3 linked regions of the Bombyx mori genome follow. The protein of the gene in region 2 interacts with the protein of the main gene of each other region in a pairwise test. Links are inferred from orthologs where the notes say so. Each region holds a gene or a part of one and is shown on either strand. Other genes may lie near its edges.

What was found.
Region 1: the proteins of Taf1 (region 2) and transcription initiation factor TFIID subunit 4 interact in binary tests that used the Drosophila melanogaster proteins (3 or more experiments, as listed by UniProt). The link is inferred for Bombyx mori from reciprocal best matches to the Drosophila melanogaster genes Taf1 and Taf4.
Region 3: the proteins of Taf1 (region 2) and Tbp interact in binary tests that used the Drosophila melanogaster proteins (3 or more experiments, as listed by UniProt). The link is inferred for Bombyx mori from reciprocal best matches to the Drosophila melanogaster genes Taf1 and Tbp.

What each region holds. Positions count from the first base shown.
Region 1 is NC_085107.1:19,834,946-19,839,033, reverse strand, and holds the start of transcription initiation factor TFIID subunit 4, read left to right. Parts: upstream 1-1,260; 5' UTR 1,261-1,283; coding exon 1,284-2,099; intron 2,100-3,260; coding exon 3,261-3,425; intron 3,426-4,088. UniProt on the Drosophila melanogaster protein: TFIID is a multimeric protein complex that plays a central role in mediating promoter responses to various activators and repressors.
Region 2 is NC_085123.1:8,778,495-8,782,839, reverse strand, and holds the start of Taf1 (transcription initiation factor TFIID subunit 1), read left to right. Parts: upstream 1-1,455; 5' UTR 1,456-1,610; coding exon 1,611-1,830; intron 1,831-3,022; coding exon 3,023-3,090; intron 3,091-3,230; coding exon 3,231-3,460; intron 3,461-3,710; coding exon 3,711-3,825; intron 3,826-3,933; coding exon 3,934-4,115; intron 4,116-4,225; coding exon 4,226-4,345. UniProt on the Drosophila melanogaster protein: TFIID is a multimeric protein complex that plays a central role in mediating promoter responses to various activators and repressors. Largest component and core scaffold of the complex.
Region 3 is NC_085118.1:10,751,658-10,755,864, reverse strand, and holds the start of Tbp (TATA-box-binding protein), read left to right. Parts: upstream 1-1,377; 5' UTR 1,378-1,590; coding exon 1,591-1,863; intron 1,864-2,035; coding exon 2,036-2,166; intron 2,167-2,202; exon of another isoform or gene 2,203-2,339; intron 2,340-2,415; exon of another isoform or gene 2,416-2,518; intron 2,519-3,044; exon of another isoform or gene 3,045-3,182; intron 3,183-3,768; coding exon 3,769-4,012; intron 4,013-4,207. UniProt on the Drosophila melanogaster protein: General transcription factor that functions at the core of the DNA-binding multiprotein factor TFIID.

The sequences.
Region 1 (4,088 bases), on a different chromosome or scaffold from region 2:
ATTTGGGTTCTACCCTCTGAGGGAGCCCACTTAAAGTCCCTTCTTTATTTCGCCCTAAAATCGTGTTTTATTTCGTTTATTTCGTTTACTCTACTTTATTTATGCTACTAATCATATTGAAACGCACTAAAATTTTCGTGAATTTAATTCAATTTATACAGTACTAGCGGCCCGCACCGTCTCCGCTCGGGTCTTTAATAAAAAATTCAATGATATTTGACGTTGTTTTATTTTTTTTTAAATAAAAGAACACTTATTGCGGAATAACTATAAGAGTACATATGCTGTTGCGACACTTTTTGTAAATAATGTGTTCTACAAAGTTGTACATTATTTTATTCTATTATCAATAGTTTTCGCAGGGCACGCGATGGAAAGAATATTGAAGGTAATTTTTTTACACCTTGGGTTACATTATTGGAGTTTTAGTTTTAGTAAGATCCCTAAATTTTTCAAAAAATAATATAACCTATGTCACTCGGGAATAATGTAGCTTCGAAACAGTGAAAGAATTTTTCAAATCGGTTCAGTGGTTTCGGAGCCTATTCAATACAAACAAACAAACAAATCTTTCTTCTTTATAATATTGGTATAGATAATTTAAAAAATATTAACGTAGCTTTTTAGCTTGTTAATATTTTTCCAAAAATATAAATTAATATCATAACTAAAATTTTGCGACTTGCGACTTAGACCTCATTATAATTCAATTCATTAAGGAATGTCGATCACTTTAGATGGAGTAAAATGTGGTATTATAACATTAGGATTTGATAAGAACGTAATTTATAAAGTGTCTAACACAATCACAACAAAAGAGACTTAAAATTAAAATATAGTTATGAATAGCGAATTAAGAATAAGTTTTAGCCTGAAACCTTTGCAGTTGTAAATTGGCTCACCTTTGTACAAAGACGCTGTTCTACTTTTTGGCGGACACTTTTAACAGATCACAAAGTTGGTGTTTATTTATTTATTTATGTACCTTATTTTATGTCCCTGTGTATTTAACTGTAAATATTGTATATAGTCATCTGAGGTATGACAACTTTTAGCATGTATTACCAACATTTGTACAATTTTCAGTCAAATAACAAAATTATTCTTTTTATTGAAAAGGTAGTGATTTTATTTGGGCTGTCTTAAAAAAAGTACTTTTTATCAAACAGACAAAAATCTAAAAAGTAAAAAATAAAAGTTGTTTCCAAAAGCAGTGATACCACATTTTGTCGGTAAATACCGGTTTGTAACCGTCCAGTGTCATATCCGCTGATTTGTAGAAAATGGCGTCAACGGAGTTTTTGGAGGAAGCTTTGTCCACAGACGTCGACGAGAAAGCCGTGAACGCGATCGTGGGCACTCTCGAAAACCAATTAGTTACTAACGTATCGTCGGCGCCGTCACAAAATATTTTAGTGAACGTTTTATCATCTCAGTTTCCCGGGCTAAGTTCGAACGCGGGCTCTATTATAAGTGGTCATAAATATACAACAGGCGGAGTTAGCTGCGGTATTGCCGCGAACAGTATACACAGACCCTCGTTGACAAATAGCACGTCCTGTAATAATGTCCAATCAAGTGTTCCTGGTACTTATTCCTCTTTGACACCGGGTGGTACTGTGACCAATTGTAACGATAACATACAAGTTATATATTCTCAGGCTCAAGCATTTTCTAACCCAAATTCGGTGACATTTCCCGCTCAGTCACTTCCGAACGGTTTCGTTGGGTTGTCCTCGTCCCAAAATCATTTGATAACGTCAGTAGACGCGATGCAACCTCCTTTAGTTTTAAAACAGGGGACGTCTTCGGGCCAAGTGGGAATACAGTCTGGAATGGTCACAGTACCGATGACAGCCAATTCAAGCATGTCCGGTTCAATACCAAATGTAATGACTTTGAACAAACCTGGACAAAATGTAGTTGTAACAACTCAGAACTTGGGTTCGAGTCAGCCCACAATACTCCCTAATGTTCAGATTCTGAATATGAGAGCTGGTGCTCCAGCAGTTGCGGCACAAAAGTCAGTAGCAACAGTATCACCAAGAGTAGTGATAGGCACCCCACAAGTTGTTGGCACCAGAGCTGCAGGACCAGGCGTAAGTCTCAAATGTTAAAATATTAATACATTAATTATTTATCCAAGCGTTTTGTCACTAAAACTTATTTAAAACTTTTAGGACTGATACAAGTTGTAAAGTAAATATACCACCAAAAAAAAAAAAACTTTTATAAATAAAACAATATTTAGGAAATTCAAAACATAGTATATTGCAACTTTTCTGAAATGTTTGTAAAAGATAAAAATCATTAAACTTAAAATAAGTTAATGTTATTAATTTCTAATTTAATCAAATCAGAATCTTCTATTGTTTTTATTGTCTTTTTATCAGTCCTAAAACAAATTAACAATAGACATTATAGAGGAACTAAAACAAAAAAGAAAAAATCTACAGGATCTTTCTGCATTATAATGTTATGCTGTAAAAATAAATGTTATAACATGGTTCATTATGGTTATGTACAAAAGATATTAACACAATTCTTAGATACCCACTTATCTGTAAATAAATTTCACTGAAACATGAAGAGGATGGATTTCTTCGGGCAACATCACTGTCATCTAAAACTCTTAGCATATTTGCACAAATTGTCACATAAACACAGAATACTGCTTGTTAAACTTTTATCAATGGGAAATGGGCCCACTGGTGATTCAACAAATTTTCAGTGGTTTGCATATCATAAACAAGCTGAAATTTAACTTTGAATTCTGCTACCCTACAATCAAATAATGCCTCAAAATATAAACCTAATACAACATGGATTTATAAATTAAACTTTATTATATAATTTTCTGGGAATCCATAAAACTGCTACAAATAAAAATATTAGTAAAATTTATGAAATCAAGCAATCTTTACCAGTTTAATGGAATCTGAGAAAGCTTCATTTCAGATGTCATATATGTCATATATAATTGCATTGTGCTACTCGGGCTTTTGTATAATATTGTAATCAATAATAGCTTAACCCATCCTAACCTTGTCATAATCATATCATATACATGTTAGTTTTGCACAGTCACCTGTCCCGTCAATGTTGTCATGTCACTGAAGTGTGTTATAAATTTTAACAAATGACCTGCTTTAGGAATTCGCATTCCAATTTTATATTTAGTAAAATATATATTCTTTCACTTGTTACTCTTCATTTAATGAAGAAGTAGGTGAAATTGAATTGAAGCGTTCAATTTTTAGATAACGCTGCAAACACTACCAAGTCTACAACCGGGCCAGCAGGGTCATTTGTTGTTAAAGACAGAGAATGGTCAATACCAGTTGCTGAGAGTGGGTCCCGCTCCAGCGGCCAGCTCTCTCACGACGCCCCAGCCTCAAACCATCAGGCTGTCCACTGTGCCAGCAGTAAGTAGGCACAACCACTCACACCCTGACTGAGATTGGACAACCCCCCCTCTCTCTTGCGCCACATTGAGAATCTCATGTTTGTCCAATTTCATGTTGTTCATGCATGTACAAATGTGGTGAAGGTGCATGTTCTTATTAACAAGGTAAGAAGATTCTAATTGGAGTATCATTACTTATAAATACTAATTACCTGGATTCATTAGTTTAATGTAAGGCATAAATATATGCGCTGGTACCCCAACAGTACATCTAAGTATAAGCCAAATGTCCGTGCTAGCTGTAGAGCATGCTTATTATGCATAGTTATTAAGCTGCTTCAAGTATTTAAATATTTATTAGTAAATACAATAATATATGCAATATAATTAGATATGTGTTTATAGATATATTTATAATTTAGTGTTATACTTTAATAAATTTTTTATAAATTTTAGAAATTATAAGTTATTTGATTAATATAATCTTAACTGTATAACAGACAAGCCATTGTTTAAAAATATCAAAAATATCTATTATAAATTATTATACAGTAATCCATCCTATAACACAGTCAATTGGTTCCATGTTATAGGAAACACGTTGTAGGAGTATTTTCATATGACGCACTTGTGTGATCCCATAACACGCGTTTTATACAAATATATATAAATATAATGCAAT
Region 2 (4,345 bases):
ATTAATTGAAACAGCAATGATAAGAACGCGAGATATTTTATTTTATGTGGTTGTTTATTATTTCTTTCGGTTTATTATTAAATATTATTTCTTCTTTCTCTGTCGAATCCGCGGCACTCGAAGTTGTGTCTGAATACACCATCTTGGCCAAATTTTTTATCTAGGCAGGGCCAACTTCGAGAAGGAAGCTGATAGGCGCGTACAGTTGGGCTGGGCTGCGTATGGAAAGCTCTGTCATATCTTTAACTCAGCAAACCAGCAAAGCCTAAAGATGAAAGTCTTCAACGATTGCGTGCTAACGGTCATGACATAATATGGCGCTCAAACGTGGACATTGACCGTAGGTCTGACTCGTAAGTTCAAAGTCACACAGCATGTTATGGAAAGGGATATGCTCGGAGTTTCTTTCATGGATCGAGTCAGAAATGAGGAAATCCGTCGAAGAACCAAAGTAACCGGTATAGCCCTAAAGATTAGCAAAGCTGACGTGGCAATAGGCCGGATATACGTATCGCAGACCCAATGACCGATACCCGATACCACATACCCGGAAGCGCAGTGCTGAACGTCCCGCTTCCCTGTGAACCGAAGACTTACGGTGATATGCTGGAGAAGATTGGATGCGGAAGGCGGAGGACCGTTCATTATGGCAGACTATGGGGAGGCGTACATCCAGCAGTGGAGAGATAAAGGCAGATGATTATGTAGGTTCTTAATCGTATTGTTTCTATAAAAGTCTAAGATGTGGTTTTCGAGCTCTTCCAAAAATTTATTACTTTATTCCATCTCACTTACTTAATTCCACAAAACATTCAATTTTATTCCTTAATTTCATTTTATACCTAAACTTTTTTACTGGGCAAGGAACATTGGTGTCGGCTTATTTTTTTAAATTATAATAATTAATAAATTATTGTTATGAGTATTAATTTTTTTGCCAATTTAGTGAATCAATCAAACATTTTTGATACTGGAGTTTATAGTTGTCTCGACTTTTTGACGGGAACGCGAGAAGCGAAGTTGTGTGAATTGTTTTATTTTGTCTATTTAGTGTTTCTTCAGGTTTAAATCTGTAATAACGGTGGCTTATTAACCTTTTAGTATCTGTAAAAGTGCACAAATGTGGGAAAATGAAACAAAGCCGATGGACGTAGCTTTTCGGGATCTTCCAAAATGTCCACTGAAAAAGTTTCAATAATTATTATCCACCATTTTACTGAGATTATACTTCATCCTATGTTATCTCATCTCATTTAATTTAATTTCATACCAATTGATTAATGTTTCAAATTAATCAACTTTGTTTTTTATTTCATTCTGTATTATCATTTTTCATAAGAAAAGGAAATAAACAATTAGTCGTTATGGTTTGATACCTTTGCCATTACAGTTAGAAAAATAGAACTTCTACTACTGTTAACTTAATGTCAACTCAAAATCTATGTCAAAATCTACGAGGCAAACAGCAAACACTCATAAATAAAGAATAATACCATTTGAAACAAAAAAATTGCAATGCAACTTGAGTAGCCTTATTAAACATTATACATATCTTAATTAAACTAATATTATGAACTTGGAAATGTAATTGTATTGTACTTCTTCGAACCATGTGTGATAGTGACGAACAAGGTGACCACAGCCGTTCAGGCTTGGATCTGACCGGGTTCTTGTTTGGTAATATTGACGAAAGGGGTCAGTTAGAAGATGATGGATTGCTAGATGGTGAATCGAAGCGAATGTTATCATCGCTTAGCCGCTTAGGTTTAGGGTCTATGCTCTCTGAAGTCCTGGAGGTTGAGGAACCAGTTAAAGAAGAGGAAGAAAAAGGTTAGTGTTTTTTTTTATCAATTTCGACTCTGCATTGTCGATGTTGAGTGTGTTACTACATTTGACGACACATTTGACTAAATTTGTCTAAATTTTGACTACATTTGAATAAACATGCCTTGAAAGTAAACCAGTAAATGTAATAATACTTTAGAATATGTGTTTGTAATTGTCACTACGGACCTTAAATGAATAAAATTAAAGGGGTAAAGCTAAAAAGAAGTCGTAGAATATCAACTGGGGATTTTCACATTTTATTCATTCTGTTTACACAAATCTCGAAGTACTGACCTGATTTTCATGTAGATTTTGTAGGTACTAGTGAGACAGAATATCTTGCTGCAGAAAGTAGGCTTTGCTTCATTACAGAAGAATGTTGCAAAAAATGTTATTGTCATTTAATTATTTTCGAAATTATATATAATTTATAATTAGTATGTAAGTACCTAGCTCTATTTGTATGTTTTCACTTCTAAACCACTATACTAAGTTTGAATTTAGTTTCGTGTCGAAATTATTACTGTATAAACCTTAGGAAATAATATGGCCTATATTTTGTCCCACTGCTGTAAATGGGTCTCCGTCACTCTTATATAAAAAGTAAATGGGTTGTGCACAGCTGTATTGGTAATTGAATGAAAGCCAAATAAAAAAAAGTAAAATAGTAAACAAATAGTTGTTGATTTTTATATTTCAAACCTATATTAGATATTAAGAAACCTTTTCATTAGTGTAAATTAGCACATTTTTTAAATGGTAACATGCACATAGACATCACATGGCAAATCAGTTTGAAGTCCCAAATGCCGAAATCACCTACTCTTGAAATGGAATGCTTGCTTATTTTCTAGTAAAAATATGCAGAACCTTTGCCTTACCTTTAAGTAGCTGATATAAAAGTTTTGAATTGGATAACCAATGGTATTATGAGAAATATGCACTTATGATGAGAATATGCACATAGATTAGCAGTGAGTAAGCAAACTTCAGTCATAAATCATACATAGTCAACAGTGAAATCCAAGTCAGGAAACTTAGAAGATAGTAGTTTCTTTTAGTATGGTTCAAACTACTGTTAAGGTTTAATCTCACATTTTCTTATGTCAACTGAAATTTTAACTTAACTTTTAAACTGAAGACATTATTAATTGCAGCAATGGTAAACATCTAATTCTTTATTTTATTTCATCAGACTATAATGAGAAAAGTCCATCGGCTGTGGACTTTTTTGACATTGAAGATGCAGCAGAGGATATAAAAGTATGTTTTTGATTTCACAAACCAACTTATAATATTGCATAGTATTTAATCTATTAAACAGCTATCTATTCTATCTAAACACCTACCATTATTTTAAAACTAATCACTAGCTCTGAAATAAATTTATGTTGGTGTTACAGGTAGAAAATAATGTGATAAAATTTGAAAATACTTCAGATGTACAAACTGTGCATAGCAGCAATGTTCCTGTGATTATTGATTCACAGAGTATTAAAGAGGAATTAAAAGAAGATACTTGGAGGGACACTGATATTGCAGGAGAACAAGAGGTACAGAGTACCAATGATGATGGCTATGAAGGTGATATGGAAGGTGATGGTGGACTTATGCCCCCTCCTTCGACAGTTCCGTTAGTATATTCTTTTCCAACTTATGAATGAAAAGGGAACAGATTCACCCAATTAGATAGAGAATTTCATTTTATGACAACACAAATTGCATAATTGCTAATAGTATGATATAATGTAACCAAATTAATGGCTTATATGTAAGTACCAATATGTTGCCTATTTCGTAATCAAAATTTAATTTAGTAGATATTGGTAAATACAGAAATACAATATGACATTAAAATAAAATGAAAATTAATTGTTTTACAGACCCCCCAAACAAGAAAAACCCAAAAAACTAGATACTCCATTGGCTGCAATGCTTCCATCTAAATATGCCAATGTTGATGTCACAGAACTGTTTCCGGATTTCAGACCAGATAGAGTGAGTAATATGTTGTTTTTAAATATTAACAAGAGCTGAATTCTCAAGCTAATAAATGTTATTTATTTGCTGTTTTCATGAAATTTTATTTGATAAATATTCATGTAGGTACTTCTTTTCTCTCGACTTTTTGGACCTGGAAAACTGTCCAGCTTACCGCAAATATGGCGCGGTGTTAAAAAACGTAGACGTCGAAAGCGCAGTGGAAGTACAGGCAGTGACACACCACCGATGGTTCCAGACAGTCAGGAACCTCAATATGCAAGTGACGATGAAGAGAAACTTCTCAAGTAAATATACTGAAGATTAAAACAGCATTTTCTTTATCAATAGCTTACTCTCTTATGTATGTATCCTTAAATTAATGATTTAAAAATAAATTTAATAACACTTATTTTAGGCCTATGGAAGAAAATCAACAGATGTCTAATGACGATAAGGGATTAGGCTCAGGAGACAAAGCACAAAGGCCAACACCGGCCCACTGGCGTTTTGGTCCTGCTCAAGTTTGGTATGATAT
Region 3 (4,207 bases), on a different chromosome or scaffold from region 2:
GGCTGTGCCGTTCTTTCTTTCCACAGCGTAAACAATGCATTGGATTTAATTTTCGTGTTGTATTTTGATGTAATGGTACGGTTTTGGTTTTGCTCCTATTTATTTTTTTAATACTTGTTCGTGGTGTGTCTTGTTCTGCCTGTTCTCTTGATTGAGAGATTGTAAAAATTTGTTGGAAGGTTACTTCTCGTGGTATTCCGTCTACCATTTGAACTAAATCAGGCCATTTTTGTTTCAAGTCGGTTTCTAAATCTGGATGATTCAATCCAGTGGCAAAGCGGTCACGTAATTGTCGTTCCAGGAAGTCATTAGTGTAGCCACAATCCCGACTAAGACCTTTTAATCTGTTTGCATAGTGTTCCATCGTTTCATTTTGTTCTCTAGTGCAATTCCAAAATTCTGTTAAGGCTCTATACCTCGTCGTTTTTATGCGATAGAGGTCTAATAATTTGTTACAAATTTCGCTGTATGTAGCTATATCGAAATCAGGCGTTAAAGCTACTTTTAATTCGTGGAATATCTCTGGTGTTAGTAAATTCAGAAGCAAATCTTTCTGTAAGTCGCTGTTATCGATAGCAAGAATTTTGCATTTGTTTTCGAAAAAATCAATGTAATCGTCAATTCTGAATGTATCTGGATTGTATTTATCCATATTGAAATGTTTGATTATACTTATCTTGTTATCCGTATCATGTTTTGTAAAAGAGTCGTTCGTCACGCTCTTGGCCGTTGTATTGCAAACTGCTGGTACCAACAATTTCAAGATTTGTAAAATCTGCTCTTGCTGGTTTTGTTGTGCATGTAAAAATAATGCGAATTGTTCATCGTTCATCTTAATTTCTTTTAACTCGTCGCCAATATAATAAAACAATGTTTTCAAGACATAGCATAAAATATAATAATGATAGGTAGCAAAAATGACAATGTGTTTGAAGTATATTTCAAATAATGGAATATGTAAAAGAAGGTTACAACAGAGTGCACCGCGGCGCCGGCGCGGCCTTGACATTTTCAATGAACCTGTTACATTTCTACGTACCTATTCCATTTTGAACGCGCGCTTACTGGAGAGCGCTAGATAATTATTGCACACGAGCGCTACATGGGCATCTCTACCTGTGGTTCTACAGAGACATCATTACATTTCATCTCACTCATTAAGTTTCATCGGGTACCTAGTCCATAACATTTGATTCTATTCTATTACACTTTGGATTTAACAAACCAAATTGTCTTTTAACACAAAATAATGGACTAGGCTGAATAGTTTCATTCCATCGCCTTCGCTTATCGCGAATATGATTTTACTTTGACATGTTGGTTCTGAATTTTGTTTGAAAAATGAGGAATTATATAGATACCTACATAATGTGACTTGTGTTGATCAACTAAGTTTTAACTGTTTTAATTCATTGTATTAATTGTTTTGCTGATCCATTAAATTTGCAAATAATTTCACAATTTAGGTGATATTGTTCAGAAAGTAAGAACGATATAAGCGTCATTATCAATTAATAAATAGACAGTTAGGTCGACGCTTACTAAAACACTCACCCGAAGTTTCCATATAAAGAAAGTAAAGAAAGAAAAATGGATCATATGCTGCCAAGTCCGTATAACATACCTGGAATAGGTACACCATTGCATCAACCTGAAGAAGACCAGCAAATCTTGCCTAATGCAATGCAACAGCAACAGCTTCAACAGCAACAGTCCCAGGCACAACCGTCACTTGCCGCTCTGGGTTCGTCGCCAATTGTAGGATTTGGCGCAATCATGGGGACTCCACAGAGGTCTATGCACACATATGCACCAACAGCCAGCTATGCAACTCCGCAACAGATGATGCAGCCTCAAACTCCAGTAAGGATTTTAAGTCCTTGTTTTACGAGAATTTCCATTTATAATTTTAAATTATTTTGACAGTAATATTTTTCAATGATTTCATATTTGCTTTTTAATCCAAACCAACAATTCAACACTCTTTAATTTCTAGATAAATTTAACATTAACATTCAGCTATATCAACTTTTAGCAAAATATGATGTCTCCGATGATAGCTGCAGGAAATCTATCAAGTCAACAAATGCTAAGCCAAGCTAGTCCTGCCCCAATGACTCCTCTGACACCACTCTCTGCAGACCCTGGAATTTTACCACAGTTACAGTTAGTATTTGAAACATTTGTCCAATATCAATTTAATAAAATATTAAATTAAAAAGTTTAGAGTATTAAACTCAGCAGTGATGTGTATAATGAACCTTATTAGACCCTTAGTGGGGTCTCTTAAGAATCTTCAACTTCTCACAACTTCACACAGACTTCAAATTACAGTTAATCTGAAACAGTTTAAGAGGCCAGGTTATTTTTCATTCTGCTAAAAAAAAACAACGTGTATTTAAAGTCAAAGATAACCTGTTCTAAGTGATAACCAGAGATCTAAGTGATAAACATCACAATATCACCATCTTAAAAAGTAAGAAATTTCAAGGACATTTTTGTATCATCACCCTCCAAGCTGAAATTAATAATATCTGCTTTGTGACACATATAGACAGAATTTTAGTATTATCATCCTGTGTAGGTTCACAATTCAGGGCAAATCACAAATAATTACACATGTTCTGATACAAGACATTTTTTGCCATTGAAGTCTGCTATGCTGGACCATGTTGTTATTATGAGGATAATTTTGCCAATTTTACATTGTTTACTTTATATTGTAAGGCTAAATAACCATTAAGTTGGCAAAACTAAATGTAGTTTGATTGAGTTAATTATTATGAGACATGTTTTAAAATAACTTCACTTTTACAAAAGGGGCCACTACCTTGCAAATTATATCAAAAGATGACAAATTTAGTCAACACTAGTTTTTTTTATATGTAAAATTTTTGCAGTATGATATTATTTACAAAACAACCAATTTTCTCATTTTAGTATGCTCAAAGATCATAATCATACTGTAAATGTGATGGACAGTAATAAAAAAGAATGGTGGTTAGTATCATTCAGTAAGCTTGGTTATTTTGTTGAATATATACCTTCTCGTAAAAGTAACTGGCTTGGAACTTCATAATATATTTGGCCCTTGTTTGCTGGACTTAGCATAATGCAAACTGTATTGATAGTAATACTCAAATTTGCAAATAAGCAACTTGTGGCAGCCAAGCCAACAATAGTGTGGTTCTTAGTGTTCACTGTACAGAACATAGATTCTGAGGAACTCTTCAATATTTTGACTATACTTTTCAAACATCTATTCAAATGTTAATATTGGAATTATAATTTCCCTTCAATTTATATCCCATGGAATTTCATTAATTAATACAAAAAGTGATTGCTGAAAATACAGAATTCTTACACTATAATATGTTATTATTCAGTATCAGAGCAGAGCAACTCAAATGGCGCCTTTGCTACCTGGATTCTTTCCTCGTTTTCTCTAATTCGATAATTAATGGGAGATTTGAAGTGCCAGAATGTTAGTGTTAAAGATATAAAATTAAAATTAATTTCAGCATGCCCTAGGTTGAATTTTTTGAGTAAATATCAATTTAAAATTTTTGAATAAATAGTTTCAAATATCTATTATATTACTTGCCCAATGGAGTGTAATGTTTTGGTTTAAAGATGAAAAGTCTAACATACTTTAACCAACTAATAAAATGAAATCTCGTTTTAATGTAGAAAAAAATCACAATTTTGACTAAAATTAAGTCTAAATAATCCATATTTTTTTAAAGTTGCATTCAAAAAACATTTCAGAAACATAGTCTCTACTGTAAATCTTGACTGCAAATTAGATTTGAAGAAGATTGCATTACATGCTCGTAATGCTGAGTATAATCCCAAACGTTTTGCCGCTGTAATTATGAGAATAAGGGAACCGAGAACAACAGCTTTAATTTTCTCATCTGGTAAAATGGTCTGTACTGGTGCCAAAAGTGAGGAAGACTCCCGTTTAGCGGCAAGAAAATATGCTAGAATAATCCAGAAATTAGGCTTCACAGTGAGTATTATAATTTATTTCAATCACAATTAGACAAGCAGTTTCACTTGATGGATGGATTAGCACCAAAAATTTAGATATCAAATAGGTATCTCGAATAATGTTTTTCCTTAGATTCTACAATACATCTAGTCTAGGTAGAGTCTAAAACTACATTTAAGTTTTAAAAAAATCTGAAATAGACATGAATATAAT